Linked DNA regions of Oreochromis niloticus. Each later gene encodes a partner of the first gene's protein in a complex. Links are inferred from orthologs where the notes say so. Each region holds a gene or a part of one and is shown on either strand. Other genes may lie near its edges. The genes, in order: polr3g and polr3k.

Region 1 (16,360 bases):
GCCCAGAGCTGTCAGAATCGAGCTCCATTGAGTTCATGAGTACCAAACTGCGGTTGTGTTTGTTACCTTTTGAGGTGTGACTGTAGAAAAGTTCATCAGGCCTGTAAAGGCACATTTCTTCTGCTCAAAGCTTTCTACACGCAGGGAGACCCCTCTATCCAATTGGAAGTCATAATTCTCTCATGCCATCATTTTTCCCTGCATCAAATAAAGATCAGTCAGCTGGCCAGTCATGCTCTCAATCATCTCATTTCCTGTGTCTTTAAGAGTCGATTCCTAGACTTCACAATCTTTCTGTAGTGACGCACTCCGTCTTTTGTGTCCTCTGACCTTGAGCATGCTGATAACCTAAAGCCAAGTCAATCAGATCAGGTCTGTACGGTCTTTTGTGCGGCTCACATGAAGAGACAGAAAGAGGGAGCGCGGCATGGCAAAGGCATGAACAGGGCAACACTGCCATCTAGTGGTCATAGCCATACCTAGACATATTTAGAGTACAGCAAGTTATGGGAATTGGGAGTCAGCATCCTTTTGTTGGATAATTGCTGGAGGGAAATGGTTTGGAAGAGCACTAACTGGTGACTTTATTAATGAGGGCTTATTTTCAGCAGAGACTTATTCATTCAACCACACTGTACTGCCATTCATTCTCTGCTGTAGGCATTTTTATGGTAGATGATTGTATTCTTTGTCACTCCTGTGTTTCAGGAGACCAGAATACGTGCATCAGAGAAAGACCCTCTCAGTAAAGTTCAGAATATCTGCATCAGTAACCATTACGGAGGGGAGGAGGTTACGCACACTGTGACCACAGACGGCCGCGAGGAGACACACCGCTGGATGGAAGCCTTTTGGCAACATTTCTATGATATGAGTAGGTCCTCATGTGTCATTTAAACCCACAACATGTGGACGTTTAACATATGTTTTAAAGGACATCATATAGTGCTGTATATTCTCCATTTGCTGCTTGATTTGTTGATGGTGACGTTTGTCTCCAATGTACAGGCCAGTGGAAACAATGCTGTGACGACTTAATGAAAATTGAACTTCCGTCGCCACGAAAACCAGCTCCTATCACACCAAAACAAGGCTCTTTGTATCATGAAATGGGTAAGAGTTCTCCTTGTATCAAGGTGTTTTTTGGTCACTTATGACCTAATGTGAAAAATAAAGCAGGGAATCAAAACACCGTGCCTGCATTGCATGTGGCTGTGTTGAATTTCTGTTTCTTGAGTGCACGTGCATCAAAGATGCTGTCAATTACATTTTCCTATCCAATTTCTCAAACTCACTCTCTGCTTCACTTCTCTGTGCTCTAAATAGAAGGGTTCTTATCTCTGACGTGCTGACTAACTTGTCTTCTGTTTCTCTATTCCTCTTTTTCCTTTTCACATTCCTTTGTCATATCTATCCATCCTCGCCATTTCCTGTTCTGCATTTTCCTTATTTCCATATGAAATAATGTAACATTCATTTCATCACACTTTTCATAAACTTTCACCGTTCATTGTAATGGTTGAATTATCTTGATGCATGAATGAAATCTTTCTTTGTTTTCCCATCACTCCTGTTTGAATGAGCATGCATCCTTTTCCTTTTTTTGTCATGTCCATTAAAAATGCCAAACTACCAACTTTTCCCTCATCCCCCTCTCTGCTCTATCCCAACTCTCTCACCAACTTCCCTGTTGATTTTCCTAACCCTGGCAGCTCCTCTTGCCACACCCTCCTGTGAGGGTCTTCTGCTGCAGGATAACGCTGTGTCTGCTGAGATTCGTGCTCTGCTCTCATCCTATTACAACGACAGGTGAAGTAACAGGACTAGGACTTAACATGAATTGGTTTGTGGTAAATGTTGCAATCCCAAGAGGCTGGACTCTGCATTCTGAATAGAATTATGCAGTACTGTAATCTGCATGAATTGGAAAGATGTCATGAATACACTCAAAATGTTAAAAATATCCTACAGTAATTGCTATCTTTAGCACTTGTTCTAAAAAAAAAAAACCCTGCAATTTAGATTTAATCCCAGGAAAAACTGATCAGTCTGTAAAACTGGTCTCAGGTTTACTCCATGGCGGCATACTAATAAGATTCGCTGCTTTTCTCTTGCAGTTATTGAGTCATCTGATGACCTCAGCAGCACCGTGTCAGACATCCTGGCTCGGAGAATGCAGGAGCTGGAGCTCCGTAGCCAGCTAGGCACCTCTCCCACCTGGATGTCTGCTTTTGAGGAGAGCACTGCCAGATGTACTGGTCGCTCTCGTCACTGTACTCGCATGTCTGGCCACAGCCCCTGCACCCCTCATCGACTGCCTCGGAGTCCTGTGAGTCCTCACCGCTGCCCTCAGCTCGGCCTGCTGTCTTCAGACGCAAGTCTGACCTCAGATAGCGACAGCCACTGTAGCACCAGTCCCTGCTCTCACCACCACGGCTGGCCTGAACCTACTTCCAGCTACTCTCTTTTGTCGTCTTCCCCCTCACGTCTGAGGCCACGCACTCTTTCTCTGGATGCTAAGCTCAGCACCCTTCGAGGGAGAGGGTACGGAGGTGGAGGGACCTTCCAGTGTTCCTGCCAGCCGCCTCCCTCGTCCCTGCTTGCTCCTCTCCCCATCTCCAGTTGCTCCCCCCGGTCACAGCACAGCACACAAACCACGCTATCCTGCTCCAGCTCCACCTCAAGCAACAGCTCCAGCAACAGTGAGGGCAGCCACAGCCCAGAGTCATCAGAGGGAGGCCCCTTCTCTAGGCCCTCCCCAGCTCGACGCAGCCTAAGAAACCTCAGGGCCAGACTTGATCCTCGTAACTGGCTCCAGAGTCAGGTGTAAACTTCATTTCTGACAGTTTCTTTATTTTTTTTGCTTGCCTAAAGGCAACAGTGCTTATTAAACCACGGTTTAACTAGCTTAACACACGTGAACCAAACTCAGGCAATCTGCGATGCCACATGCACACCCTGAGAAGGATGCCTCCAGCCTGCCTCTTGGTGGAGGACGAGCCATGGAAGACCCTTCTTGGGCAAACTGGAATGTCTTCTAACACAAAAGACAGGTGACAATCACTGCAGGAGTCTCTGACATTTGCTCGGTTGCCACAGTGTTTCAAAACAGTCCATAAGTAATTGGGAGGTACTCTGCTTGCTTTGAGAATTGATGGTAATGCTGCTTGGAAGAAGGTGATGCTAACAGATAAGGACATGCTCAAATTCATGCCACACTAGGTCTACTTTCTGTCTTTGAAAATCTGATTTTGAAACTGGAAAAAATAATAACAAACTAAAAAACAAAACAAAAAAAACACAGTTTTTTGTCTGCACAAGTGATCCTGGCCACTCAAACATGGCCATGTCTGTTAATGCACTAGTCGTATTTTGACTGGATGTTTCCTGTTATGTTCGAAAAGTTTGCAGTGTTTGCAGTATAGAAGCCAGTTAGCATGAGGTAATATGAACACGCAAGACAAACAGGTAAAACCAGTCAAGATTTTTCCAATATTAGAGACTGCTATGTGTAGAGGGAAGGGTTATTTGTCGCCTGTACTGTGATACTTGTTTCAGTCTACTTATTATTCATGCTATTTGTGGGGTCTCCCAGAACGACTATGCACCATTTTTGTTTTCATGCATGTTTTGACTGGCAGTTAAAATATTTCTTTGTCAGATCATTTCAAATGACCCTGCAAGTGCTCATACTTACTGTACTGGTTATGACTGTGATCTCTTCAGGGTAAAAAAAATCTGTGCTCTGCTCTTATCTGCACACTATTGACGGGCTGCCATCAGACTAAGTAATAGATTTGTATGCACACAGTGCAACTCCTAAGCAAACTGATTATAACCAAAGCTCAATTATTATTGAAAACCCAAGCCATACTAATCTGCAGCTTTATTTGTTTTCAGTTTCCAATCCTGCCGTCCAGCGATTTATTATCACGCGACAAAGAAAGAAAACTGATTTAATCTTGGCGAAATTCTAAAAAACATTCTAAAGAAACGTGTGCTTACATGAACTCTAGACAGTCACCTTTTTAATGATTCGTTAACACTGCCGCCCATTTGTTGTTACATTTTTGCTAGTTAGACAGCTCAGAGCAGTTACTTCTTCTTACAGGAAAACTGAGTTAAAACCTTATAGGGTTGGTGTTGTCAGTGCAGTAAAGCTTTGCCTCTTTTTTTCCCCGTTTCCGTGTTTATTGTGGACTCTGGAAGCCGTTGCCCTCTTGGGGACTCAGAACTCGAACCATTTTTACTAAGATCTGTTGTACGCTGAACGACAGCATTTGTTACTGTAAATTAATTTTTATAAGTTAACAAATAAACCTCCTGTATTTGTTTTTGGGTTTTTTTTGTTACATTACTGAATTTGTTATAAATGCAGCTGTGTTGATATTTGATGATCATAATATTAGATAACGTGCAGATCTTTTAACTGTCACAGATAACATTGAATGTTATAACCTTGGCGGAGTTTCCCGTGTTGGCAGGCTTCGTGTTCTGCATGTATGCCATCCTCGGAGGTGAACTGAAAACGAGAAATGTGGAAATCTCGTGTTGAAATAATATAACATTAAATAAATGTTTTATCAATTAAAAATCGTCTTCTTTTCTTATGTATCCAAATTAACATGTTCTATACATATTTTTATGTGTACATTTTTATGGTGAAATTCTTTAGTAATGCATTGAACTTAAAAATAAAATCTGATATTTCTGTTAGAAGGTTAAATCATCCTACTTTTCTTAACTTTTCAAACTAAAAGCCCCCCAAATTAAACCCTTTCCATGCATTGAGAGAGGTTTCCATCAGATTAGAAAATGACTTTAAGTTCTCTATCCTTTGAACAGGTGTTGGATCATATTCCATCCACCTCTGTTCTGCCCCTTTTTCTCTCTCTTGCAACAAATCCCATTTGAGTTCCCCCCTGGAGAAGCAAATCCACTTATAAGCTGCTGCAATCTGTGCTGCAAAAGACTCAAAAAGCAGGTAGAACAGAGACTTTTTATTGTCTATGTTTCGATAGCAAAGCTGTAGATTAGTCAATAGTACAAAGCACAATTACAAACATAGGAGGTAGTCGACACTGAGTCTTCACTGAGCATTGTAATATGCATAGAGAACACTATGGCCATAATGACTTTGTTTCAAATGTCTCAGAGGAAAACCCAAAGCGCCCTGTTCTGTTTGTAGTGCAGAGTTATGCTATTGTTGTGCTATTGTAACTTCACATATGCTTAAAGTATAAAAATCAAACACTGAATTATATTAACACCAACATATACATATTCATCAGCATATAAGACCAGTAAATATTTTTTATAATAGGCTTCATATGGTGCTGATTATTGACTTCTGTAACCCAGTAGGGGCATTTCACACAAAGTTTGGCAATTACTTGATTTTCAGCTGGATTACATAAGTAAATGGACAGCGTTACATTAAGTTGCAGATAAAACAGAGGTAACCCCGCCCCCACCCTTTCTGTCCTCACACTCTTCCATGTCCTCCATACTAAAACATCTCTCTTTGTGCACTTGCTTCCTGCAGCTCAATGACCCACTCTCATTAGCAGGCACACTGTGGGTTGCACACCCGCAGCGCCACCCCAGCCAGACTCCTCCAGGCAAACGTGGAGAACTTTGCAGGGCATGTTTCAGCTCTGCTGATGTACGTGGAGGCAAGCCGATGGAGCCGCTTCGCACCGAATGCATTGTAGTGCCCCGGGAGGACTTGGTCGACCTGTTAAATCCATTTTAAAGCCAATAAACATGTATTTTATTTAACAAATAATGTTTAGCACATGTTAAAGTATATTGTTTTAAGTATTAGCACAGAAAACACAGCTTGTATATGTAGGCTAATAGATACTGGTATGCCAAATTTCAGCAGAGCAACATGATATTTTCATTATAAATCTATGAAATGTTGATATAAGGTGCTTTGGGATAAATACCCCTGGAAAAAAAAAGTGGAACTGTGTACTGAAATTGTGAGGCTGCTCTCTAGTGGGCTTTAGAGTTACCTGTTCGCTGTCCACCAGCCCAACCAGGCGCTCACAGCTGCTGATGTAGTCACTGACGCGGCTGTAGGGCAGCCAGTCAATCATTGCGCCGTCATACACAACATCGCCACTGAAAAGCAACTTATTGTCCCGGTCATGAAGGCAAATGCTTCCCCGAGAGTGTCCGGGCATGTGAAGCACAGTCAGCTGTCTGTCACCAAGATTGATGACATCACCTAGGCAGGAGAAAGAGAGAGAGAGTGAAGGCATTAGGTTTTGATAATTATTCACACATACAAACGTGGCATGAACCGTAATCACCGGCCACTATGTATTTAAAATCTTAGACTTATATATAAGTGATAACTCATATTCTGGCTGACTCACGTCAGAGTTATGTTTGTGCTTTCCACATGTCACTGAGTCACACAGATTCTGTGACATTCAGTATATCATCGATTTGGTCGACGCCAGTTATGAGTTGCACTGGCAAAAAGGGTGAAGTTGATACATCAGGGAATGAGATATACCAGCTGCACTGCAGTAGTGGCTCTGACACAGCAGAACGAGTTACTCTACAACACTGCATTTTGCATTAAACCCCAACAGATACGGCGGCTCAGCAAATACATTATTTATGATATAAGCTTTGTGTATTATTATGTGTGCTATTCTGATGAATGTGTGCTTTATATAAAGACTCCAGTGACCAGTGCTTTCAAACAACGTATCCACTTTCAGATTTATCAAGTAGATTGATTCAGCTCGCCACCTGCTGATCTTTGACCCACTATAAAAAATTGTTTGAGAAAAGAGAAGACTGTGTGGTTGTTACTTCGCGCTGTGGGATGCTTTCATTAAGTGTGACACCAGTCTCTGTATGCTCTTTCTTGGAAGCAAGAGAATACATCAAAGCCATCACACTGGCTTAAAATAGAACAGCTCTGCAGATATAGAGAATGAGCATATAGTTGCTACCAATGGAGTTTTTGTTGTTGTTTTTTTAACCCATACACTTCTAATAGGGGGAAATTGTCTGTACCTGCATTCCTTGGATAGAATATCCTGTTTTGTGTAATGGGATAATTGCACCTGTGTAATCACCAGTCCTGGCCTCATGTTGCTGCATTGAACTGGTTCCTCTAGCCTACTTTGTAACTGTAAAAATTACTGGCAGACCGACCCCTTGTCTCATCCCCACTACCTCCATTACATATATAATATGTGTCGATGTGTGAGCTAGCAAGTCATTGTTGGTCTTCTGCCAAATCGCGGTGCAGAATCTGAGGCTGGAAACGACTCTGTAGAGCATACTGTGCTCACACTAGGCCTGGTGCATCCATCAAGCCCATTACTGTATCGATTATGGTGCTTGTCACTAAGTGAATGCTTTTAGACCTTGCTGGTATTTGAGCACAGATCCATCCCTCTAGCCTAAATCAAATCTGCAAGGGCTGTATTTCCTACCTACCCTCCTGCAGTATGTGTGTGGGCTGCACAGCCTTGACTTTGTAGTGCCTTGCCCTCCATCCCGGGCTGGGAGCCTCGGCTATCTCCCTGTCGCTGAGCCAAGTGACCGTCTCGAAGTTGTCTCCGTTGGCCAGGGCATCGACCTCCGCGCTGTGGACGCCCACCTGTTGGAACTGATGCAGACCACCGGAGTGGTCGAAGTGGGCGTGGGTGGCGATGGCAAGCAGCGGGTTTTTCCTCTGCGGGTCTTTTCCCAGCAGGCCTTTGGCGTCGATGTATTCAGGTAAGCTCCTTAAGCCCAGACCCGTGTCTATCACCACGTCCTGGTGTGTGCCGCGCAGCAACCAGATGTTGGCTCGGTTCTCCGACTGGTAGAATCGCTCCTGGATCCAGAAGATTCCGTCTCCGAGCGATTTGTGAGCGTACCAGTCGACTGCAGACATCCCAGTTCATTCGCTTGTCGAAGTAGGGTTCAGTATGGTGTCTTGCTGTCAGGTGATTTATTGGGGGGGAGAGGTGTAACTAGCCTTCTAGCTACAGATGATATGTTTTCATTGAGGTTAATGCGATGGTGGCCGCAGACACACCCTTGTAGGAGGACACTAAGCTCACTGGGCAAACCGATAAACGACGGCAGCTTAACGTGGGTTGCAATTGGCTATACGCAAACCACGCCTCCTCTGTCGTCACGCAGAGGAGGAGCGAGTTAAAGCCACATTTACGCATGCTGACAGTGGCGTATGGCGTGTGCAGGTTTCCAAAGCCGGTGCTAGCTAAGCAGTATAAAGTCTAAGCAGTATCTTCATTAGGTTCAGCTGAAATGTATGTGATTTTTAAGGAGTTGTCGAGGGACAGATAAAACCGGCCAGAGAGGTACATTAAAAAACTGAAACATGTGGATCCAGTAAGAGCTAAATATCGCTGTCCAGCTCTGAAGTAGACTTTGTGCTTTTTTACATTAGGCGCAGTATACTAACAGGCTTCTAGTAAGTATTTCGACATACTTTACACGTAGAGTGCGTCTCTGATGCTGACTAAAGCTTCATCGCTGGCAGAGTCACGCTAAAGGCGATGGAAGCTGTAGAACGTTAACTTTCATCAACACGTGTTGACTGGAGATATGTGGACGTGTGTGTGTGTGTGTGTGTGTGTGTGTGTGTGCAGGAACAGAGGAGACCTGCAGCCATGGCAGGCAAGGGTCGTGGAGTTGGTGCTTTTACCTTCAATATTGACGCTCTGGGCATCGGCAGGGGCAACATGCCAGAAGCCAGGGTGGGGCCCAGTCCTCTGTTTCCAGTAAGTACCGAACACAGTCGTTTACACACACACACACACACACACACACACACACACACACACACACACACACACACACACACACACACACACACACACACACACACACACCAGCAGGATGACAGATTGCATTTCAGTATAACAAATTCACCTCTAATGGTCAAACTTTACTGGAGCGACTTTGGGAGAGACCTTTTTGAGAGAGGTAGGTGAAATTTGCATGGAATTTGAATAGCAGACTATATACAGTGGAGGTTTACTTATAATAGGTTAAGGTTTATTCTTTGTAATAAAATTTACGAAACATTTTACTGCATTTGTATTTAAATGAAGGGAGATGAAAGTATATTTATCGTGCTCATGGCCAACATGTGTTTAAGAGTTATGACCCAATGAGTGTCTCTCACAGGGTTCACAAATAAGCACAAAGGGGGTAAAGGGCAATAATGTATGCGCTTATGTTAAATTCATGGCCAGGTTTTCTAATTTGGTCGTGTGTATTCCCAAAGAATATGGCAGATATTTACGTGCCTCTTGGATTCTGCCAGGATGCTTTATGGGGATTTTTTTTTTCTTTTAAACACAGTTTGGACTATGCTTACAATGTAGTATATTTTGACTATTCATACTTAAAATGTTGAACACCTTTACATGGCAGTCTGAATTTCAGTTAGATTTGAAATTTATTTGCACTTGAACATTATTAATATCGGCATTACATCATCCATACTTCTCCAGAGCACGGATTTTAAACCAGTTCCACTGAAAGCTGGCGAGGATGAGGACTATATGCTGGCCTTAAAACAAGAGATGAGGGGAACAATGCAACGGCTGCCATACAACATCAAACCTCAGTCCAATAAAGCAGGTGAGGAAGGCGGTGCATTAGAAACCTGACATCAGCTGAAATGACGCTGTAAGACAGTTGTCTGCTGTGGGGGAAGATAATGCAGCTTTTAGGAACAAAGACTTTCAGTTAAGGTCATATCTGGGAAACGGAGAGAGGCAGATTAATGACAGAATATTGAGTTACAGATGTCTCATCTTGCGAAACCACAGATTTCTTTTGTCTGGATTACTGGCCTTTCAAAACTCTCCTGTTCCACAGTTAGCTAAATGTAACCATGTAAAGAAGTCAGTGTATTTTATAGGGGGAAGGGGGGATTGCTTATTCAGCAGGGGGTCTGTGGTGAACATGACTATAGGGAAATTACCTATGAAAAGGAAGTGCACCCAGTTCTTCTGTGCAGAAGCAAATATACACACATCATGACCGATAAACAGAGAAGCAGCTGCTGCTTCATATCTACAGCCTCTTCAGCAAGACTCTCATCCCATGGTTGAGCACCACCTCCGCTGTCTTAGATAGCTGTTAGACATTGTACTCCATCCAAAACCTGCAGTAAAAAGAGAGCTGGTTCATGGGCTGTAGAGCAGAACAAATACTAAATGTCTTTTAGCTTGATGAGGCCAAGGCCTATTAACTTCTCATCAGTGATCATCATTGATTACAACTAGTCTGTCTTTGACAGGAAAAAAAGAAGGATTTGTTTGACAGGGCTCATTGGATTGACGCACAATGGGAGAGTTGAAGGAACTCTGTGAAGATCCAAGAAGGAGAATTGATAATTTACATAATTTGGGAAAGTCTATTTGAGCTATTTTAAACAATATCACATTCCAAGTTTTCAATTTTCTGGAAGAAGATCCGAACTGTTACCCTCGGATGAGAGAAAATTGGTTAGGATGTTCACGAACAACCGAAGAACAACCGGGTCTCAAGTCTACCGTGAAATCGAAACTACTCAAAGACCAGCCGCTGAAGCGAGTTTTAATTCTTTTGCCGACCACAAAAGAATACCCTGCTCCAAAATCAACAGCTTCAATTTCAACTGAAATTTGCAGCTAGATGGTTGAAACTTTGGACACAATTGGGTGTTCAAACAGGACAGTGTTCCCAAATACACATCAAAATTGGTTTTGGATTGGATAAAGCAGACTAACATTAAAATTCTGGCTTTTGCAAAACCACAGCCTCAATCTTATTGAAAATTTGTGGACTATGCTTAAAAGTCCGGTCCGTCTGGGTGGGCGGCATTTAGTGTTATCAGTCCTTTCATCCTTCAAGACCTGCCAAAATTAATCCAAGCTTCTGTAACAAATTCTTGTATTTTTTTGTTTTTTTTAAAGGCATTAAAGATGCATGCTGTACAGTCCTTCCACTCTATAAAAATATCATTTCAAAGAAATCATTAAAGCCCCAAATGACCATGACATTCATGCTACTGACTGTATGTAAACTTCTAGAGTAACACTGCAGTTTGTGTTGACGCATACTAGTCTAAATGTTTTTAAGAGTATGACCTTTCTTTTGTTTACTTGAAAACAGAAGTGGAGAGATACACCGAGAGATACCTGAAGCAAAGCCAGATTGACGACAATGAATGGACTCCAGGTACGTGCGTAACACATCATTATGGGATTAGGTGGAACACAAAAAAGAGGATGATGATAACATTTTTCTTGATATTTTAGACTGGAACCTTTTTCCAAAAGAACTGATGCCCAGAAGAAAACGACCTCAGGCTAAAACGGGTACATTAAATACAATATGTATGAAATCACATTTCTTGTTACTATAAGAATAAAGACCCAATGTTTAACTCCAACAGGCACAAAAAAAAGTGCGAAGATATCACGCAAGGACACAGAGAACATTCTGACCAAATTAGATGTAAGCTTCATTTAAATTTACTGTCAGTTCTCTCTCCACACCTTTGGTGTTTCACATGAGTAATTTGATATTAATGCCAGGAACTGGCAAACAAAGATGACCCTGAAAAATCAGATGAGGAGACTGAAAAGAAGCCGCGAAATGAGGATGAAGAGGAAATTGAAGAGGAAGAATATGAAGAGGAGGATATTGAAGAGGTGTGATTCCAAGATGTACTGCAAAATGTGTTACACATAACGATCAATATGTACAAACTAGATCTAACATTGCTTTCTCTTCGTTCTGTGTAGGAGAACGACTACATAGAAAGCTACTTCGACAACGGTGAAGATTTCGCTGCGGACAGTGACGATAATATGGATGGCGAAGCAACATACTGAGCGTCTCTCAAGCAAGGACGTGCTGAAGTTAAACATAATGTGACTGCTTCTTTTGGTTAAATATTGCACATAAGTTGGGAATGCTATTCAGTGTGGAGCGATGCCCTTTTTCTTTTTCTGATCAAGCTTTCGTTAAAGACTAATGTAAATAAGAAATGCTGAAATATGTGCACACGGCAATAATTTATTCAAAATAGATTTATTTATTCTTCATCCTGTAGACAAGTTTCACAGGTTGAAAGGCACATACTGTTAAGAACACAATGCTCTGTCATAGAATATCAACTGAACACAGTGAGAAAATAAAAGGGCTACATAACAAGTCTAAAAATTGTACATAATTACAAATGAGTTATTGTGGGAATATTGTGCATTTTCCTCACCATGCTCTTATTTATACTTTTGTTTCTTAATTACAAAAAAACCAAACCCCTACAGTTCTTTCAAGCAGGATGGAGATTCAAGAAAATTTCATTTTAACTCCAACTGATGATCAATACTGGTAGTGTACATAAAAACTGATGTTCAGTCTTCAAATAAATTAATTTTAATTACACACAGTGGCAGCAATCCTAACTTTTCCAACAAGTACCATATAACTAACATGGCTAAAGTTACAGCTCAAACGTCTTTTAAACAAATCCACAGTTATAAGCGAGCCCACTGAACCATTTTAATCGAATAGTTTATTCTGCAGTGCTGCTGTCTGTAACTCCCTGGGCAGCATTTGTGTGTAACCGGCTAAAAATTCTCCAGCACAGTTGACTGCAAAGACACCATCTCGAGTTTACAGGAGACACTCAGACCAACTATGAAATGCAGTCACTTTTAAAAAGGTTGAAGCAGCACAGCGTTGGTCTATCAAACCAGACATAAATCTTGCGAAGAGTTGGACCCACATTCAGTCTGTCAACTGTATGCAAATGGAGAGACACAAGTTATGATTGTGGTCACACCTTAGTCTCTCAATCCTTCAAAGTTATTGTCTCCTGTATAATTAAGCCAGATAGATTTAAGTGATGTTTTAAACGTTATCTGTAAATGGGAACATCAGCATAATTCTATTAGTTCTCAGAGTTAGCGACACATTTTAGGTGGAAATTCCTTGCTATGTTTTCTCATTTTCTCCATCTCCACCGTCTCCTGCTTTGTCCGCAACCCCTCCCTGCTGAGCTTCATTAACTGCATGCTTAGCTTGAGCATCTCCATGAATGTCTTTACTCCTGAGCAAACCGTTGTCTTGTTGATACCCATAAGACAAGCCGTTGTGAGTTTGTGTAGGCATACCATGATGGCTGACGTCAGCTTTCACAAGAACTTCATAATACAACAGATAAAAGATGGGTGTGACAATGCCGACAAAAAGCATGATTGCCACAGCAGTCCACCATCCCATGCCCCAGTCTGCCCCATAATAAGGATCCTTCCTCTGTACTGGTTTATATCCAGCTTCTCCTAGTAATGGCTGCTGCTGTTGCTGCGTTAAAGAGGACACAACCTCACTGAGGCCGCTCCGAGATGGTCCTGTGGATTTCACCAGCCGCTCAATGTCCTTGTCCTTCTCCATCAGGAAACCTTCCACGCTGTCAGTGGAAGAACAGGAGTCCATGGAGGATTCAGAAGGGAGAGAAGTAATGTGCGAGACCTGTGGCGGGTGTCTAGTGCCTGTGGGCGAGGCAGATTTGAGAGTAGCAGCGTTATGAGTCTCAGTGAGGACACTAAAGCGCCTCACAGGAATCTTAACTAAACGCAGGGCAAAAAAGTCCTGCTCTGTCAAAAGGTTGTTGGCACGCTTGATGTCCGCCACCTGGGATTCACAGGGGAAAAAAATAAAAAATTATAAGAAGTAATTAATAAGCCACTTACAATTTGCCATCTGTTGAACCTTTAGAGCCAACCACTGAATTGTACCTGAACTCTTTACATGCATATATAAAAAACACTAATTATAATAAACTTTCCACAGATGTTTGTCAATCTCACATATCTTTTCTAAAAAAGTGCTGCTTTACATATAGTAAGAAATCATTTTGAAACATTGTAGTGAAAACTACAAATATTCAATCTGAAGGTTGCTTCCAATTCTTTGTTTAGCAAGCAGTTTCAATTTCAGAAATTAATAACCACTATCATCATAAAATAAATTTAGCAACAACAGTTTAACTACAACTCACCTGCTTTCCTAAACATATAAAGCAACAAAGCATGTTTCTGTATGTTTCCTACGTAAAGAGAAAAGTGCAGGTATACAAAAACATACAAATGAGGATTTCAGTCAATGCTGCAAAGGAGAGGTAAAACAAACACACAAATCTAAGCAAACACATACTGAGCAATGGTACTGAAGGGCAATGCTGTTCAGAGTGTCTCCCTCCTGGATATCTCTGGTCAAATAGATAATGTCATCCATTCTCTCTTTAGAGGTGCTCCTCCTGAGTCTCTCTCTGCCACGAGGCCGCAGCTCATAGCTTTCACCATCCTCTTCTGACATATCATTTTCTGAGCTGTTGTTTCCGAACAGATAGGCATGACCGCCATTGGCAGGCTGCACCATGGTGGCTGACTGGAATCCATAGTGCTGGCTTCTGCTGGACATTTTTCTTCACTGTTTTAGGCAGAAGGAAACAATGGCTCAGAGCACAGGCTGATATACTGAATCAAGAAAAAAACTTATTAGAGTGTGCATCTTAAAATCTATGGGCTATCCAACTTGCTTAACATGTGCTACTGTAGTTTAACAGAATAGGCATTAACATTTTGGCAGTATATGAAAATAGAAAACACATTAATCCTGCTATGATCTGACAGATAAGACTGATTACACTGAATGTTTTAGTCTCAACATATACCACTATGATCATGCTATAAGATCAGGCTAGTCAGCTCTCAAAAAAGGTTCAGTCAGATCAGATAAAGGTCCACCATATCACAACTCTGAAATAACCGCAAGGCAATACTATGTTATTAGTTTCAACAAAAAGCCGTCTATTTTTGGACCAATGTAAGGCCAGACAACGAGTGTTATGTAAGCAGCATCTAGTGCTGAATGGTTTAAACAACGGGCACACCAGTAATCATCTTCTTATTCAAGTACGCAGGCATGTGATTAACTAACCAAGCTCGTAAAGCGATATGGTGGCTAAAATTTAAGGTTAGCAACCATTTAGCTACGTTGTTGTCTACGAACAGCATAATGCTGCTACACTCTTGTTTTTCTCGTAAAACAACAGTGCAGTGTGGGACGGTTATATTTCAGAAATAACCGCGTAAGTTAAGAAACACTTTCGTTTAAGCCACTAAACTACTGTCTTAAACAGACTTTCCAGATCCTCTCCAACAAGAAGCGACATGTACAACCGAATAGAAACCCATCTCCACAGGCTAGGCTACTGCTAACTGGAGTCCACATCTATTATGTCGCCACCGCTAATAAGCTTTGTAGTGTCCCGTTGATAAGCAGTTGATTAAAATGTCTTTAGGAAATCGTTTACAACTACATTTACCTGATAAAGTGAATCCCGATCCCTCAATTGTTCTTTCTACGGTCCATACTTCCACTGGATTCTCCTTGGTCTCTCCCTGTAGTCTGTTTGTTACGTACCTGCTAACCGCTATTGAACTGCTACCGCTCACGCCACGTCAACACAATATTTACGTAATGACGCTACCACACGCGACCGCAGCGCAACCTTTATTTTTTCGCCGCGAGGTGGCGCCCAACGTCAAGTAAAACTGCGTGTAAAGTAACTTAATTTTGAATAGAAATGATAGAGTTTTGTTTCATTTTCTCAGTTTACACCCGTGTATTGATATTCGCGGTAGCTGTGAGGTTAAACTAACGGCTTTGTTTATAAATGTACAACACTGCACGCGTGTTGGCTGTGAACACTGAGGCTTTATGGGGGCTAAACCCTGCTAACCGTGTCTGTAAACAGCTAGATTAACCTTAAGCCAGCCAGATTCCGTTTAGTCGTAACCTCTGTCACTATGAACAGGATATAGGTAATAAAGTTTACTCTACTTAAATACAGAGTAAACTGTATTATTTATATTCTGAATTACGTACCTGTTGGTTACCACTGCTGACCCTTGAATATACAGTACTGCGAAGAAAAAAGTCTTAAGAGACTATGCATAAAGAAAAAAAAATTACTTAAAAATGGGAAATATGCGCAGTGATTGCAGAAACTGCAGATGAGTGCAAACATACATGGAAATACAGCACACAATTTTGAGTGCTGTATTTTGCACAATTCTAATAAGTTTGAAAGTCACATTTCTTCAACATAGCCTGGATGTCTTAGGCAAGCTTTCTTGTAATTTCTTAAAGTAGCCTCCAGGAATAGTTCTCTAAGATTCTTGAAAGACATTCAAAGCTCTTTGGATGTTTTCTGTGGTTTTTCTGTTCCGGGTGTGCGTTTATTGCATGGGGTGTGTGTTTGGTATCATCATCATATTAAAAAATGCAGCTGGTGTCAGAC
Region 2 (16,870 bases), on another chromosome or scaffold:
AGTTACTGTTCTTACTGTCTTGGAGCAACTCTGACCACATAATTTCCTCAGGGATGAATAAAGTATTCTGATTCTGATGTAGTTTCTGTATTTATGGACTGCTCGGAAAAAAACACTTCAGCTTGCTAAATTTCATTACTTGAAAATAGTTTATTTGGCTTCAGTTTAGCTTGGTAGAAGCCAGAAAATTGAATTAATAATGTGGAAATGTAAAAGAGCTAAAAAGAGTATTTTATTGTCCACTGGCTTGTAGATCTATTTTTCCTTTTGGCTCACATCACTGTTGAGGCTATGGATCATTTTCTTAAATATCATGACTGATGTTCTTGTGCTCACCCACTCTCATTGGTTTGTCTAAATGCAGGTGGCCACTACCCACCACCGCCACCTGGTCACTTTCCTCAACCGATGCCAGGACAGATGGGCCCGGGTCCTGGTCACTTTGTCCACATGGGAGGTCACACAGCGACCGTCCTGGCTCCTCCAGGAGCAGCCACCACTGTGACCGTTCTGCAGGGTGAAATGTTTCAGACTTCACCAGTGCAGACTGTGTGTCCGCACTGTCAGCAGGCTATCGTCACCCGCATCTCCCACGACATCGGCCTCATGAACACACTCTTCTGCCTCTTCTGCTTCTTTGTAGGGTAAGTAGGTCAAAGAAAAGACATCTGGTGGTGGGTTTTTGCTGTTTTTGCACATGAGTAATGCCTAAAAGTGACAGTAGTTTTAAAAACACAGAACTAGAGCTGGATGATAAATTATGTCAAGAAAATCTGCAATAATCATATTTCTGACATGATAAAACTGTCATTATTGCAGAACGCTGATTGTTGTTATATTGCTGCTTGCAGGCAGAAGCATTTCCATTGGGCTAATTTAATTGATGAGACACTTTCTAATTCAAAGTTTGACTTTATTGACACTAGATGCATTAAGTACCCTAGGTAGTGTTTTAGAAAGTTGAGTAAACGTATAAAATAATTGCTTGACACTTCAACAAACTTAAAGTAACTTGACCATGTAACTCATCAGGGGACTGCAGAATATTGTCACATAATAATGCTGAAAAATATTTCATACAAAGGTCACACATCACCAGCTGCTAGTGTCTCATTCTTTGTGGCCTGGTTATACTCATTGGTGTGAGGTTTTTTTTTTTTTTTTTTTTTTGACTCAAATAGTGAAAAAAGAAGTTGTCGTTTCCAGCTTTAGCTAGATTAACTTTATTGCATATTTTTCAGAATACTTTGCATTTGCTGGAAGTTTGTTGAAGTAGCTCCCTTATTGGATACTAAATTGTCACTGGAGTCTCACATTTGCTCTTGCTCTCAGACACGGCCAGGTTTGTCCATAGTTGAGCATATAAGGGAATGTGAAAGAATTCACTTTTATTCATATAGCAGCAAATACTCATAGCACTTTTATTCTAAGGTAAAGACCCCACAACAATAGAGAGAAAAAAACAACAATCAGACAACCCCCCCATGAGCTAACACTTGTCAGCAGTGGGAAGGAAAAACTTCCTTTTAACAGGAAAAAACTTCTGGCATACCCAGACTCAAGGAGGGGCAGCTACCTGCCGCGACTGGTTGGGGGTTCTGTCAGAGGTTTCTTTTAAAAGGGAGCTTTTTTTACTTCCCACGTTCACCAAAGTGAAGGGTGTCGTCTGATTATTGTAGGGTCTTTACCTTCCAATATAAAACACCTTGAGACAACTGTTGTTGTAATTTGGCACTATATAAATAAAATAAAATACCCCACAGCGTCCATTACTTCCCAGCTCACCTGTTAAGGACTTTGGAAGATAAAATATTACCTGAACATTCAGACAGACGGTGTTTCAATAATATGTTGTTGATTTAGCAACTTGTTAATCGTGTCTGTCTTAAATTTTGCACGACAGTATACTGTGGGATCTGTGACCTTCAACTTTTGCATATGTTCAGATCGGGGCAGATAAGCAGATGGTGTATATTTCATGCTTCTGTGTTGCCATGTTCTTGACCCAGTGATTGTTTTGTGAGAGCTTAATGTACGTAACGTGTACAATCATGAGCAGGTGTTTGATTTTTGCTTCATCTTCCGTCCGTCTGCTCCTCGTTCACAGCTGTGATCTCGGCTGCTGCTTGATTCCCTGTATGATTGACGACCTCAAGGATGTGACACACACCTGCCCTTACTGTAAGGGCTACATTTATACATACAAGCGTATATGCTAACCACGGACAGCTGGATGCCACAGAGACAAGTACATGCACACACATAAACCCACAGTGCCCCCTGCTGGTAGTGACAGGCTTCTCCCCTCCGCACCCCTCTACATTTTTGCAAAGTGTTGTGTAGCCCTCTTAAATTGTAAGTGAAGTTTTCTCATTAGTTCACAGCATATTTCCTGTATATACGGTTCAGCATACTTCTCTCATGCATTTGAAATGTACAGTTCTCTGACTTAAGCGCAGTAGGTGAAGGCGCCCCACAGAGGCACAGGTAAATTTGTGATGTTTCGCATGCGGGAAAAAAAGGGAAAAAAACAAAACACAAAACTGCCTCTGTTAGAGAACGCTGTGAAAATGTCACTTTATTTGAATTCATCTGTGAATTTTGCTCTATAGCAAGTGTATTCAGACATGGGTTAATTTTTATCTTTGATTTCAGATATTTAATTCATTATTTTAACCCTTGTATGGTGTTCGGGTCTGTGAGACCCGTTTTCAGTTTTTTTCAAAAGAAAAATTAAACAATTAATAATTTATTCAACCTGAAATTCATTGGCTTTGGCTCATTTTCTGTGAAGAACATAAATCCAAACAAATTTTCAATGACTGCATACTGTAGCTCCCCCCACGCATTTACATTACATACAAGGTGTTCGGGTCCATTGGACCCAGGTCTAATAAAAGTATTGAAAGTGTAGGTCCTGTGTTCTCACACTCTGTTTTCCTCCTTTCTGGTGCTGCTGCTACTGTTTTCTTCTCCTCCCGCTCCCGCACAAAGTTGCCACATTATTGAAAATTCAACTATCAACACCGTCTGCTCTTACATTCCCGCACATTTTACCCTCTTTCTTGAGGGATCCAAATTTTATTTTCTCATACCCTGTCCCACCTGCAAATTAGGGGCATCATACTATAAATAAGACTTTGCCAGTGTGGTTCCTTATCACAACTGATCAAGATGGCCAAAATATTATCTGCTGCAAGGGCCTTATTGATTTTGGAAGAGAGAGGAGCTTCTGATGATGATGTCGAGGAAGAGGTTTCAGAATATGAGGATCACATTTTTGAAAATTCAGAGTCTGACAGTGACTTTGAAGAAGAGGATGAGATTGAGCACCATTTAGTAACAAAACAAAGATGAGTACCCCATCAGCAGCCAGCTCCAGGACCAGAACAAGCCCACCAGACAGCAAGTGAAGAAATATGGATGTAAAAAAATGGTGAAATTGAATGATCTTCTTGCCCAAGAAATGAGCCACCCTGCAGAGCTGCTAATGCGATAAGGATGCAACCAGGGCCAACACGGCTGGCAGTTACTCATGTGCAGGACATCAAGTCTTCATTTGAGCTTTTCATCCCAGATTCCATCCAGAAAATTATTCTGGATTGCAGTAATCTAGAAGGATGGTGTGTTTTTGGAGAGAGATGTTGGGTCTGTCTAGCACAGGCACAGTGTGACCCCATAAAGACTTCCCTAAACAAAAGGCACTTAAAGTAAAACAGATATACGTGTGTTTGCTATACCATATATCAGGAAGAGCAGATATAACCTCTCTCCTGACCTTAAGTTGTGTGTGCATGCCAGAGTGCTCTGGGAGGCTCCACAGGCTACTAAGGATCAAACCTCTACCAATCTACAACTAATTATAAAACTCTAAGCATATATGAGTAGATATTTCTAAGCATAAATGACAATCAACAATACAAATCTAACAGAGGTGGAAGGAGATGGACCAAAATGATCTACAGGCCTACTTTGGGGTTCTTATCCTTGCTGGAGTTTTCAGGTCCAAAGGGGAATCCACAGAATCCCTGTGGGATGCAGAAACCGGCAGAGAACTTTTCAGTGCATCAATGTCTCTGGAAAACTTCCACAAAATTTCCAGGATTATCCGTTTTGATAACTGAGATGACAGACCAGCTCGGTGGCAGAGAGACAAGCTAGCTGCCATCAGGACAGTGTGGGATAAGTGGGTGCGTACAGCAAACATTAACCATGTTTGCTGTTCATATAGCTTGTAATTGGGATGAAGTAAACATTGTTGAGTAATTTAACATAAAATTGTTTGATAGTGTTAATTTGGAAAGCCAAAACTCTAGCGGGTCCACCAGACCCATGAACACTGGCTGAGTAACAAAAATACGAACACCACACAAGGGTTAATATTTAGAACGGAACTTTTATTTTCCTTTGTCTGATTATTTTGTTCCAGCAGGTCTAGTGTTTCCTTTTAATCACTGATCCCTTTTGAATGTGAGCAAAATGAACCATTTATAATATTTAGCTACTAAATCTACTTGTTGGGAAAGTCCCAAGATTTACGTTAACCTGCTATATTTTGTTATTAATTTGGGCTGTAGTCACAAAATGTCCTGTGACTTACTGTTGAGCTAATGCGCATGAGTGCCCTCTGTCTGTAAAGGTGTTTTATTTTGATGATTGAGTCATTATTTGTACTTTAAGTTAAAGTTCACCTTTGCCCCTCAGATGCCTCATTTGTCTAGGGGGGAAAAAAGCGTGACCACCTATGCATCATTTGGTTTTTACTTTGGTTTGCTGTTAGCTGAGTGAATCCCACCATGGTTGCACCTTTTCAGAATTTAGTAGATTGAAAGTAGAGCTGACAGACTTAGGGCTCGACTGTTACTGATGGACGAACACTCCACAACATCTCGGTAGTGATTTGTCCTGTCGCTGGCCAAATGCTGAGTCTGGGTCGTTTAAGGTGATTTTCAAAATAAGTTATTTCAAAACAAACAGAAAATTGTTACTAGTGGCACGGTATGTTATATTTGCTCTGTTATGTGTTTTGTTATAACGTTAATTTATTTTGAAAACTCATTCCAAGTTGCTCTCACTGATGAGATGTGCTAACATGTATAATTTAACGTACAGCGGTGGGACCATCTTCACACAATGTTGAGTCCCTGACTTAGCGTTAGCCCTTCCTGATGACTTGCATTGCTCAGAGGCATGTTAAAAAACGATTACAGATACTAAATAGTGAGCTCTTTGCTAGGAAAAAGCTTTAAATAACAGATTAACTCCAACATTGTGATCCCACCAAATTTAACACCAACAGATACTGTTCCACCATCAGCATGCCGGATGTCTCATGCACCGAGCGCAGAGTTTTTCTGCACGAGCCACACATCGAAGTCATTCTCACTGGCAAGTTCCTGACTCTATGTGCATTTGTTTTTGTTTTCCTTGCGGCTAACGGAGCTCTGCAAGAAAATCAATATGAAATGAAGGATTGCATTGAAATATTAATACGGTGTAACGTACACCATTGTTGTGGATTTTGCTGGTCTGCATTGCTCTAAATGTCTGTGAAATGTATAACTATGTAAGTCAAAGATTTGTTTGACTTATGTATACAGCTACTATTTTATCAATAAAAGTCATGAAGGAAACTCAATTTTGACATTGTGAAAGTGGATATTTTATTTAAATATTAAATGTAAAGCAAAAAAATAAATGTTTCTCAGCTGTGCTTGTGAATGAAATTGAAAACCCTGACTATAAGTGAAAAGGTGTCAATCTCTCCATCGGTGTCCACACTGAGCGTTGCAGCATTTGTAGAACGTGGTCATCGGTTCGTCTGCTGATCTGGTCTGAATCTGCATGAAGTATGCTCGAGGATGCTCGCACTTCGGGCACGTTTCTGTAAACAAGTGCATCATGTCAGTGTGGAATCACTAATACTGTTGGAATTGGCTCATTTAATTTAATTCCATCTGGCAACACAGTATAAAGAAAAATGCACAGAGTAGCATCACTGACACAGGATGTTCCTAATTTTGACAACACTGTACAGATCAAAAGACGCAGTTCTCGAGATGCACTTATAAGAAAGTTCAAGCACCTATCCTGCCAGGTTTCTCAAACTAGCACCTGGAGGACAAAGTCACATCATCCAGAGTGCAAATACAATAGCTTCAGTTTTTCTTACATAGAAAATTACATATTATCAAGGTCTCTTATTAGCCTGTAGTACGTAATTTGTGTTAAATAAATATGAAATCTGTTCTTTATTTAGAAATAATGCTCTTTAGTAACCAATTGAAGGAATTTGACTCTTAATGGACTTTTATTCTTCCAATTTCTTCCCCGTGTTGCAATTCATGCTTCAAGGGAAAAAGGTATTTACAACACAAAAATGTGATTGATGTAGAATAATATCCTGAATCATAAATACCAGTGGTGCTGACACAACTTTACGAGGCTAAGCTTTTCATGACTGAGGGCCTATACAGGGAGCCAGCATACAGCTGTGGACCAGCTGCAAAATTCATACACCCCCCCTCCCCCAAATCCAGTCACCAATTTATTAAACATTAATTGGCCAGAAAGCTTCACCAGCAGCTCAGGAGAACCTGCAAGAGAGGTTGTTGTTTACCTGTCCTACCCTGAAGGGGGTGCAGTCCGGCAATGTAATGATGCAAAGACACACCTTTTCTCACACTTTTAACAACCCCACATTCATTTCAGCTCTTCCATCCCTGGTATCCATTATAATAGACTAAACCTTCCTAAATTAACAAAGACAGCAGCGGTCAAGAAGTATAAAAGCCACCTCACTAATGATTAAAACAAACAAGCCAACACAAAAATGCCATATAAATTACCATCCTCAGAAAAGACAAACACTGTAATTAAAAGTTTGTATAAAATGCATTTTTATTCAGTAGAGGTCTCTAGCATATGCTGGCTCCCTAAAATGTGACTCAGTCATCATACCATTGACAAACTCCACCTGGTTATCAGAAATTAGAAAAAATATCTAGTTCCAGAGAATTGATGGAGAAGACTTTCACATTGATGTCATCAAGGGCGGACCAAGACATCCTATTCTCTGTAATAGGTCTCCAAGCTGGATAGTTCAAAAGCTACAGCTGTCTTTCATTTAAAGAGCTTTAATCTATCTGTAGAGTTAGGTTTTTATTGGGCGGGGATATTGCAATACCCCAATTTGTTTTTCAGCCATTCTGTTGTAATTTGGTGGTGTGCTTGGGGTCATTGTGCTGTTGAATGATGCAATTTTAACCATCTGTCAGATAGACAGCCTCACATTTAACTCTAGAATATTTATATACAGAGGAGTTTGTGTTTAACACAGTGACAACATTGTGCCCAAACGTTAAGGTAGCAGCAGCTGGCAGGGACTCACCCTCTTAATTAAGAATGTATTTTGTTTTTCACAGTATTGCACATGAAAACTCTGTTTTTCACATGACTGTTAACTTGAGCTACACATTTGACAATCCATATTGACAGTGTTAATAGATATTTACCCTAAAATAACGAAAAACTGAAGGACCCAGCTCAAGTAGTTTTCTAAATAATTACATTTTTAAATGGCACAACAAAATACATCCCTACTGTCATCCATGGGAATACTTGGATGCTAACAACAGTCCAGAAGTGCATCTTTCCCCTCAGTGTTTTAAAGGAAAATCTGTCCATGGTCAGGTGGAAAGTTTTTGTTTCAATCTGATAAAGTGAGTTGATCCAAACACACGCTTGCTCACACAAATCACGGATAAGTGGAAGAAGATGGCTGGCTGGATGACTTTGTTTTAAAAAGTTCTTCTTTTAAAGAGTTTAATTTTGACATGAAAGTGTGTGTTTAGAGTTTTGACCCCACAATACTTGTTGTCAGCAATCACATTGAGCTAACAAGCCTATATCCAGTTGTCAAAAACTGTATTACAAACCACTCAAAGGCACTGCAGACATTAATGTTTTGAGCAGGAGTGCAGGACGATAGACACAACTTCACTCTCAAACTAATTAAAAAAAAAAATCCAATATTTCTTCAGCCAGTTAATTTTGCGATTATAAACAGATGGATAGACCACACCATGAACTATTTTAATGGCACTCACCAGGTGTTGAGTCCACGTTTTCCCACGCAGCAGCTCCACCCAGAACATCATCCACCTCCTTTAACTTCGGATACTTCCTGTTATTTACCTACAGGGGTTTAAACAGATAACGTGAGGCTCTCAGAAGCCACGCTAACCTTAATGTAAGATGTGAGTATTTCGTCGTTACTTACCTTTCGTGTGATGTTATGTACGTAGGGACAGGTGTTACACGCGAATCTCATGCACTTCTGCCCTTCCTCGACGATTAACACGTTCCCGCAGGTTGGACAGAACAGAAGCATGTTATCACGCACTTAAAAAACAAAACCCTGTTAGTTTTTGAACTATTAAACAACACTAGCACTCTGTGGACTCAGCTGTAAACACTGCTGCGTGTGGAGCACCGGAAGAGAAGGAGAGAAAATGAGATGCACCCACATTGAGAGTTCGGTGAGAAACAAGGGATCATTAAGCGGAACCATGTTTTCTGAGCCCCATTTCCTCGCCCGGTTATTATTTGTGACGGACGCACTTACTTCCACAGGCTTCCAGTTAAATTAGTTTCCATTAAAAAGTATATTTTCCCCTAAGTTATAAATTAAGTCGATAAACTGCCTGTTAAGCTGCTTGCCTACTGAGTAAATTTAGCAGCTGGCGGTGATGGAGGAGGAGCAGAGAGCGTGTACCGCTGCTGCTGCTGGAGCTGCAGAAGGAGGAGGACAATCGGTGAAGGATGAAGAAGAGGTAAAAGAGGAAGATGTGACAGATACGGCAGCTCAAGGCGGAGAGGAGGAAGATGAGGACGCTCTTCCTCATTCAGAAATCTTGGATATTTTCGAGGAAGGACTTGCTCGACTCGTGCAGGATCCTTTGCTCTGTGACCTGCCGATTCAGGTGCTCCGTCCACTACATGAACATGCACATGTGCATTGCATACATACAGACAAGAGAGTTGCATTTATGGTCAGACGAGAGATCACCTCATATAATGACTTCTTACAATGCCTTTGGTATATTTGTATACACTCCCGGTCACTCTTAGTATCCTGATCCATCACATCATAAAGGTGCTATGTTGGATTGAAATCTGGTGTCTGTGAATTCATTGTCGTGTTAAAGGAACCAGCTTGAGATGTTTTGAGCTTTGTGACATGCTGTTATCTTGCTGGAAGCAACCTTCAGATGATGGCTACATGTGGTCATAAAGAGTTGGACATAGCAGTCAGCAATAGTAGTGGGGTAGGCTGTTAGTTTTAATTGACTTTCGGCTGGTACTAAAGATTCCAAAGTGTGCAAAGAAAATATCCTCACAAAGTTAACCCAGCAGCAGCAGAAATCAAGACACATCAGACCAGGCAACATTTTCCTAATCTACTATTATTCAGTTTTAGTGAGTATGTGAATTTTAGCCTTCCTGGTTTTAGGTGACAGGAGTGTCGCCCCCAGTGTGGTCTTCTGCTGTTGTAGGATGCCTGCTTCAGTGTTTGATGTGTTGCACGTTCAAAGATGCTCTTCTGATACCTTGTTTATAACAAGCGGTTATTGGAGTTACTGAAGCATTCTGGCTATTCTCCTATGACCTCTGGACTGACGCTCGCTGGATATTTTCTCTTTTTCTCTGTAAACCCTGGAGATAGTTGTGTGGTAAAATCCAAGTAGATCAGCACTTTCTGAAATACTCAGACCAGCCTACATGATATGCCACTTTAAAAGTAACTTTTCTTCATCGTTTTGATTCTTGGTTTGATCTTCAGCGTGACATCGTGACCATGCCTAAATGCACTGAGTTGCTACCGTGGCTGTTTAAATATCTGTAGAAGTTGAAAAGGCTTGTCTTCCAAATTTTCCAGTGAGTGTATAAAGACGCTAGTGTCTGGTTTTGTCTGATTGGTGTTTCAATCTTAAACACGCATGCTTAACTAGCAAAAATGCCGTAACAACCTGATGTTCAACACTGTATGTATAATTTAATCAGTCCAAACTGTGGAGATGGATTTGACTCAAGTTATCTGTAAATTATTTGCATGCTGTTTAGTCTCTAAAATGTCACTCGGGGGTGGATTGAAACAGCAATTTAGGCAGGGAATTATTCCAGGTCACTCTGCTCATGCAACTGTTATCTCTTATTTTCTCTTATTTATAGGCTGACATTGTGTTTACACAAATTAATGAGACACCTTTTATGCAGGTAGTGCAGTTAAGAGTTTTTTATAGGGGTCTGATCAGTGGATAATAATAATAATAATAATAATAATGATGATACAGAACAGAATGCAATAAAAATAAATGTAAAAAAGATTAAAAAACACAGGCTGAAGTGGAACATCGCAGCATTTCCAGTTGTTCTCAGGACCTGCAGCAGGCTCTTCAAGCTGCTTGTGCAATAAAAAGCCTAACAATGCCTCCTCTCTTGCACTTTGAAACAAAGAGCAGATTCCTGCAAGGGGACTTTATTTTTCCCAAAAGTTGGGAAATTCCTGTGTTACACGCGCCAAAACATAAAAAAAAATACCTCAAATAAAATAACATAAAGTTATTTTATTTGAATGAAATCCTAAGGGCGATAGATTGAATGAAATCTTAAGGACATGAAAATCTAATTCAGTTATGTAAGGCCAGACACAGAAACTAATTTGCCTACAGTCTAAAAATACAAGATGAGATGACATACAGGGTGAGACTGAACACATCCACATTTTCACTGACGTCGAACAAAAGCTTCAACAGTGTGAAAAGAAACTTGTGCTTCGGCTGGTGTTTTTTACTCAGCTGGACTCTCGCAGGTACTTAATTTCTCTCTTTTCCACTCCTTTCCACCTTTCGTTTCCCTCTGTACACTTTCATTGAACAACTGCTCTCCTGGTTGCAATAATATCCTTGGTAGAGCAGACTCCTCGCAGCAGAGCAAAAGGACTTAGGCCACTGGGAAATGTCTCCAACTGATGTCATAAAGCCCAAGACCACCATAAATTGGTTTAATTTTTAATTTATTAATTTTTTTTTACATTATTTGGGGGCTTCTCATTTTCATTATGTTATGCAGGTACGAGGAGACAGGAAAGCAGAGAGCCAGTGAGCGCAGGAAGACGTGCAGCTAAGGGCAGTGTTGGAGTCTGACCTCTGCCTCTGCATTCAACCTTGCAGCATAAGATTACCTGTTGGACCTGTTACCAGCACCAGCTAAACTGGTGCTGCATAAATTGCTTTTTTGTTTTGTCTAAATGAAAAACCTCAAAAATTAATTTTCATATTATATAGGCTCAAAGAACTAGGAAGCGGCTAAAAAGAAAACAGTTCGGCATTTATTCCTAAAAAGTTTGACTCAAAAATGAATCAAATAGATCAAAACATTAAATATAAGCAAAACTAAAACTAAACGATGAATATCCAGGAACTCCCTTCATGTTTTTGAGACTAAGCGAATTTATGTGCTGACAGAAAAATGAAAAAATATTTATCTTCAGGTGACTCTGGAGGAGGTCAACTCTCAGATTGCTTTGGAGTACGGCCAGGCGATGACTGTAAGAGTCTTGAAAGCAGACAGTGAAGTGATGCGTAAGTGCTGAAGCTGTCTTCTTTTCTGTTTACATGCTTTTTAAATTCGCAAAGCCTCTTATACTCTTCTGGTTAAAAAAATCCCAAAAGACAAAAACATACAAACTGCTTTTTTTCCTCATAGCGATTGTGGTGGTGCAAAATGCTACGGTCCTTGATCTGAAGAAGGCTATTTGCAGATTTATGGAGCTAAAACAGCAACGCGAAGGCGGCGTGAAACACATCAGCTGGTAAACACACTCACAAACACAAGAATGAAATGGGGCATGTTTAAAAAAAGTCATATTTTTACTCTTTCCCTGTGTTCTGTGTTTCCAGGCGATATGTTTGGAGGACGTATCATTTAGTATTTCAGGGCGAGAAGCTCGAAGATGACAAGATGAGGCTTAAAGAGTAAGTGTATCAAGTTAGCACTTTATTTCATGGTGTTGATAACACTTATTATCCATTCACCCCCTCCCTCTCTTTTTTAATTTGTGTATATCTTCAGCTATGGGATCAGGAACAGAGATGAAGTGACGTTCATGAAGAGACTCAGGAAAAAGTGAAAAAAAAACACCATCTGCTGTTGTTGTAGAATCTTTTAGCCTCTCAAAGAGGCTTCATGTAAATAAAATATTTATAAGTTGTCACTTTTATTCCCAATGTGAATTTTTTTGTGTACCTGTGTGTCTGTGTGTATATAAATATATACACACTTTGTTACTGGCAACCTGTCACAAAACACATGATTTGTTCCACTTTCTTATTTTGAGTCTGCAGAATGGCCAGATAACCAGTGTCACAGGCATAAATAGTATTTTGTGCATAAAGGTGATTTCCAAAGAGCTACTAGCTAAAACCTTTGCATATCTCACTGTGGTGTGCAGCATGTCCTTACAAAACATTAGTAGAGGCCAAAAGAAGAAGTAGCAGGAGCAGGTAAACATAATCTGAAAAAAATACAAATAAAAATCCAGCAAAGACCTGACTCAGGACCTGAGAGATACATTTGGCCCTTCAGTCGATCCATATACTGGTTGCTGAAGCAGGGTGGCTGTCAAGGAGTCATTCTTGAGGAAGGGGGACCAGGAGAAAAGGCTGAGGTATGCAAAATTGCACAATAATTGTATTTAAAGTCAGTGGAAACAGTGCTTTTATAGAGTGATGAATGCATATTTGAAAGTTTTGGTTCAAACCATCTTAAGTGTGTACAGAGGAGGTCAGGAGAGAGGTAGAAGAGTGAGTCTATAAAGCACGGTTATGTTTTGGGGCTCCATTTAATCGAGTGTTGTTGGGAATCCTATCAAAACGGATGGAATAAAGAATGCAGAAAAATACCACCAAACTTTGAGCCACCATTCAGTACCAAGAGGAAAGCAACTGATTGGCAATGGCTTCATTTTTCAGCATGGTGTGCTTTTCCTACCGGTGCATTAAAAATAAAAACACACTGGAACATTGTGAGCTATGGATTGGCCTCCCTAGAGCCCACACCTCAACATTACTGAAGCAGTGTGTGATCATCTTGACAGAGCTTTAAATGTCCTTTAAAAACCCTGGAGAACTATTCTTGAAAACTGCTTAAAGAAATTACTAGAAAGCTTGCATAAGAGAGTTCAGAATGTGTTGAAGAATAAAGGTGCGCATACCAACTATTGGCTTTCAAGCTTGTTAAAATTGTACAGAATAGTTTTTACATTGCAAACTGTGTTTGTGCACGTGTGTAAATCCCCATTTTCTCAGCAAAAGATAAAAAGATGGGGTCTAGAGACTTTTGCATACCTGTGCAATAACATAGCTGTTTTCCTAGGCTTGCAGCTTAGCAGGAGCTTTATATAAGGTCCAAAATAGGGCAGTTATAACCATAACCTGATGATTTGAATATTCCCTGAGAACAGTATGCTGTTGTTGAACCAGTACCAGTGTTACAGGATATACACGATACGGCAGGAACAGAAGAAGGTAATGCAGATATCTTCTATTAAATAATGGTGAAATAGATTTTTATGGGGTTATAAATTGAGATGTTAGATTAATGTTACAGCGGAGCATCAGTGCAGTTGGATACTTATTTGAACTTGTTTCATATAAGATTGATCAGACGATTACACGCAATCATCAGCGTCCGTGTCTCTTTCTGTTTTATAGATCTTTTGCTTGTTTTCTAAGCATCCAATCAGACCTGAGAAGCCATGTTTCTTTTAATTAGCTGCAGATGGTTGTGACCAATTTATCTGATTCAGAGAAAGCAGCATATTTGACTACATGCTGGATGAACTCATGTACTGCATCTTTTTTATTTCATATCAATAGTAATAAACTTTATTTCTATAGCTTATTTGCAAAATAGTTACAAAGGGTATTTGCAGAATTAGAAAAAAACTAACAATATTTAGTCCAATACATATATAGTTTTAAAAACTTTTCAGTAAGAGGAAGTAAATTCCACAGCGTTCTGTTAAAGCCAAAACACGGTGCAGCTGTTTTTTTTAAGCCTGAAACTTGCATGTTTGTTACTGATCTCGTGCTAAATGTTTGAAGGGGGAAAAGATAAGCAAATCATATATGTAAATAAATATGGTTGGAATGAATTAAAAGAATATGACCTTTATCACCAGCACATTATAGTCCACAGTTTTTATTTATTTTTTTAAACTAAACTAACAAACGCTAAAACTAAGGATTTTATTTTATTGTATGGAGTTTTCCAAGTTCACAACATTCTTTATTCCAAAAGTCTAGTTTTGATTTTCATTTTAGTTAAGTAAGATTTTTTAAATCTAGTTTTAGTTTTTAGTTACATGTCAGTTAACTATAATAACGTTTGGTCCTGGGAATTGTGCCAAAAAGTGATTGCTGATTATGTGCATTTTGTCTAATATCCATAGTTATATTGGTAAATTCGTGGAGGGGATTTATATAAAATTGATTTGTTTTGCAAGTATTCTGGTGACCCTGCATTGTTGTACCTACACTGTGTTCATTATAATCAGTCACATTATAATCAGTCCAGTCTTTTTTGCCAGTTAAAATATCTTTATAGAACTGTTAAATGTCACTTTGCCAAAAACTGATTGCAGTCTTTACCATGTGATGGAAATGTTCTTTCTGCTTCAAAATGACTAAATATCATTCATGAGAGATATGTGTGATAGATTATAGGCCAAATTTACAACAGCTTAAATACCGGCAATCACTTTTTGGACCCCTTTTGGCTTCAGAACTGCCTTCTTCATGGTATAGATTCAACAAGGTGCTGGAAACATTCCCCCGAAATTTTGGTCTATGTTGACATGATAGCATCACAAAATTGCTTCAGATTTGTTATGATGTGAACCTCCCGATCCTCAGCATCCCAAAGGTGCTGATTAAGTACAGGTGGCTGTGGAGGTCATTTTAATGCAGGAAACTTTGTCATGTTCGAGATATTAGGTGATTTGAGTTTTGTGACATGGTTTGTTACCCTGCTGGAAGCAACTATCAGACCACACTGTGGTCATAAAGGGTCAGCAACAATATTCAAGTGTACTGTGTCATTTAAACTACGGGGCACAAAGAGCATCAAGAGAATATCCTCCACACCATGCTTCCTGTTCCTAGCTGATGGGAGTGGCACCTGGTATCTGTTTAAAGGTTTGATATGTTGATATCTTTCGAGTGGCTATTTGAGTTATTGTTGCCTTCGAATAAGTTCAAAGTAATCTGGCTTTTCTACTCTGATCTCTGCCATCATCAGGGCATTTCTATTGATGACATAAGTAAGATATTTTCCTTTTTTTTGGACCATTCTCTGAAAACGCTAAGGATGTTTGTTTGGGAAAAATCCCAACAGATCAAAAGATTCTAAAATACTCAGACTAGCCCATCTGGCACCAACAAGCACGTCACGTTCAAAAACGCCTAAATCACCTTTCTTTCCCGTCTGACTCTCAGGTTGAACTTCAGCAGTTTGTCTTGCACAAATGCCTAAACATATTGAGTTGCGTTCGCACGATTGGCTGGTTAGATATTTGCGTTTAGCAGTTGATCAGGTTTACCTAATGACAGCAGATGCTAGAAGAGCCTTCCAAGTCTCTGAGTCATCTTAAATATGCTGTAGGTAACATGTTTTTGGCATAATTGAGAGCAATTATTCCATATTTGTTAAACCAAACCAAATACAAACCAACACTGAACAGAACAGAAAATGAAAAGAACTCAAAAAACAACAAGAACCAAACGTAAAAACAACTACAACAAATACAATATGAAAAATGATTAGGATAATCATGGAATCTGACTTTCATAAAATAAAATTACACAATCATTGTCATTTTAACAACTTTATGTGAAAAAGAAAGCAGTAGGAATAAACAGGGAGTTGGATTTCTACTATTTTCTGCCTCTTAGAACTTAATTAATAATGCATGCACTCTCTTATGCAATCATCTCATTTAGAATGTGGGGCATAGAAAAGAAACACATTTGTAAATCTTTGATTCACAGTAACATTTTATATGCTTAACCGGTGCAAAAATAATATCTGCAATTAAATAAGGTCATGCTTTCTCTTCTGCTTCTGTCCTTCCAGTAGTTGCCATGGATTTAGACAGCGAACTAAAGGAGATAGCTGCTGAGATGAAACATGTCTCACTCAAAAGGGAACAACTTAAGGAGAGGAAAAACATTCTGTGCATATTTCAAGAGCTGAGGAATCGAGCCGAGTTTGGACAAACAGGTGACCACTCAAGCAACTCCTGTGACAGTGATGGCTGTTTGCAGTCTTTTAGATTTTCCACGAGGAATAAAAGCAAGTTGTGCTGTATGTATAACCTCTGTATGGTTACTGTTTTGTTTTTATAATCAGAGGAAGCAGTCTCTACTCAGAAGGAGATTGAGAGCATCGATGAGAAACTGAAGGAACTGAATGAAAAACAGTCCGAACTCCAGAAAAATTACGACAACATGCTCAATGCCACCAAAAACAAACAGCACAAGAAAGGTGAGGCCCAGTTTGCTACAGCAAATCTAGCACACTTTACACAACTAACCACATTTGTTCTTCTTTGTTAGTGGTCAGTTTCACAGACAAAGAGAATATAGATTCTGCTGCTCCGCCTTCTCCTCCTCCTGGCTCTAATATCGTCTATGTTGTGGCTCCGCCTACTATCCCAGGTGAGCTACTTTTGGAAATTTGTCCTGTAAAACATAAAAGAATGAAAAGTTGAATGAAAACCACACTCGTGGTGAGGACTGCATGCAGA

What was found.
Region 2: polr3g (region 1) and polr3k share a complex: the UniProt entries of both Homo sapiens proteins name them as parts of the RNA polymerase III complex. The link is inferred for Oreochromis niloticus from reciprocal best matches to the Homo sapiens genes POLR3G and POLR3K.

Annotation. Positions count from the first base shown.
Region 1 is NC_031977.2:14,415,557-14,431,916, forward strand, and holds polr3g (DNA-directed RNA polymerase III subunit RPC7), read left to right. Parts: upstream 1-8,154; 5' UTR 8,155-8,455; intron 8,456-8,633; 5' UTR 8,634-8,654; coding exon 8,655-8,765; intron 8,766-9,503; coding exon 9,504-9,633; intron 9,634-11,154; coding exon 11,155-11,220; intron 11,221-11,300; coding exon 11,301-11,360; intron 11,361-11,437; coding exon 11,438-11,499; intron 11,500-11,579; coding exon 11,580-11,696; intron 11,697-11,789; coding exon 11,790-11,879; 3' UTR 11,880-12,272; downstream 12,273-16,360. Other genes in the region: rhotekin, read left to right, coding at 709-874, 1,009-1,113, 2,118-2,830; acyl-coenzyme A thioesterase MBLAC2, read right to left, coding at 5,564-5,737, 6,021-6,235, 7,471-7,912; lysmd3 (lysM and putative peptidoglycan-binding domain-containing protein 3), read right to left, coding at 12,988-13,686, 14,209-14,475. UniProt on the Homo sapiens protein: DNA-dependent RNA polymerase catalyzes the transcription of DNA into RNA using the four ribonucleoside triphosphates as substrates.
Region 2 is NC_031969.2:24,513,299-24,530,168, forward strand, and holds polr3k (DNA-directed RNA polymerase III subunit RPC10), read right to left. Parts: upstream 8,543-16,870; 5' UTR 8,393-8,542; coding exon 8,282-8,392; intron 8,197-8,281; coding exon 8,109-8,196; intron 5,885-8,108; coding exon 5,757-5,884; 3' UTR 4,701-5,756; downstream 1-4,700. Other genes in the region: cdip1 (cell death-inducing p53-target protein 1), read left to right, coding at 365-644, 2,108-2,219; snrnp25 (U11/U12 small nuclear ribonucleoprotein 25 kDa protein), read left to right, coding at 8,751-8,984, 11,555-11,645, 11,770-11,875, 11,964-12,038, 12,136-12,193; cell death-inducing p53-target protein 1, read left to right, coding at 16,206-16,344, 16,474-16,608, 16,680-16,781. UniProt on the Homo sapiens protein: Core component of RNA polymerase III (Pol III) which synthesizes small non-coding RNAs using the four ribonucleoside triphosphates as substrates. Can mediate Pol I proofreading of the nascent RNA transcript.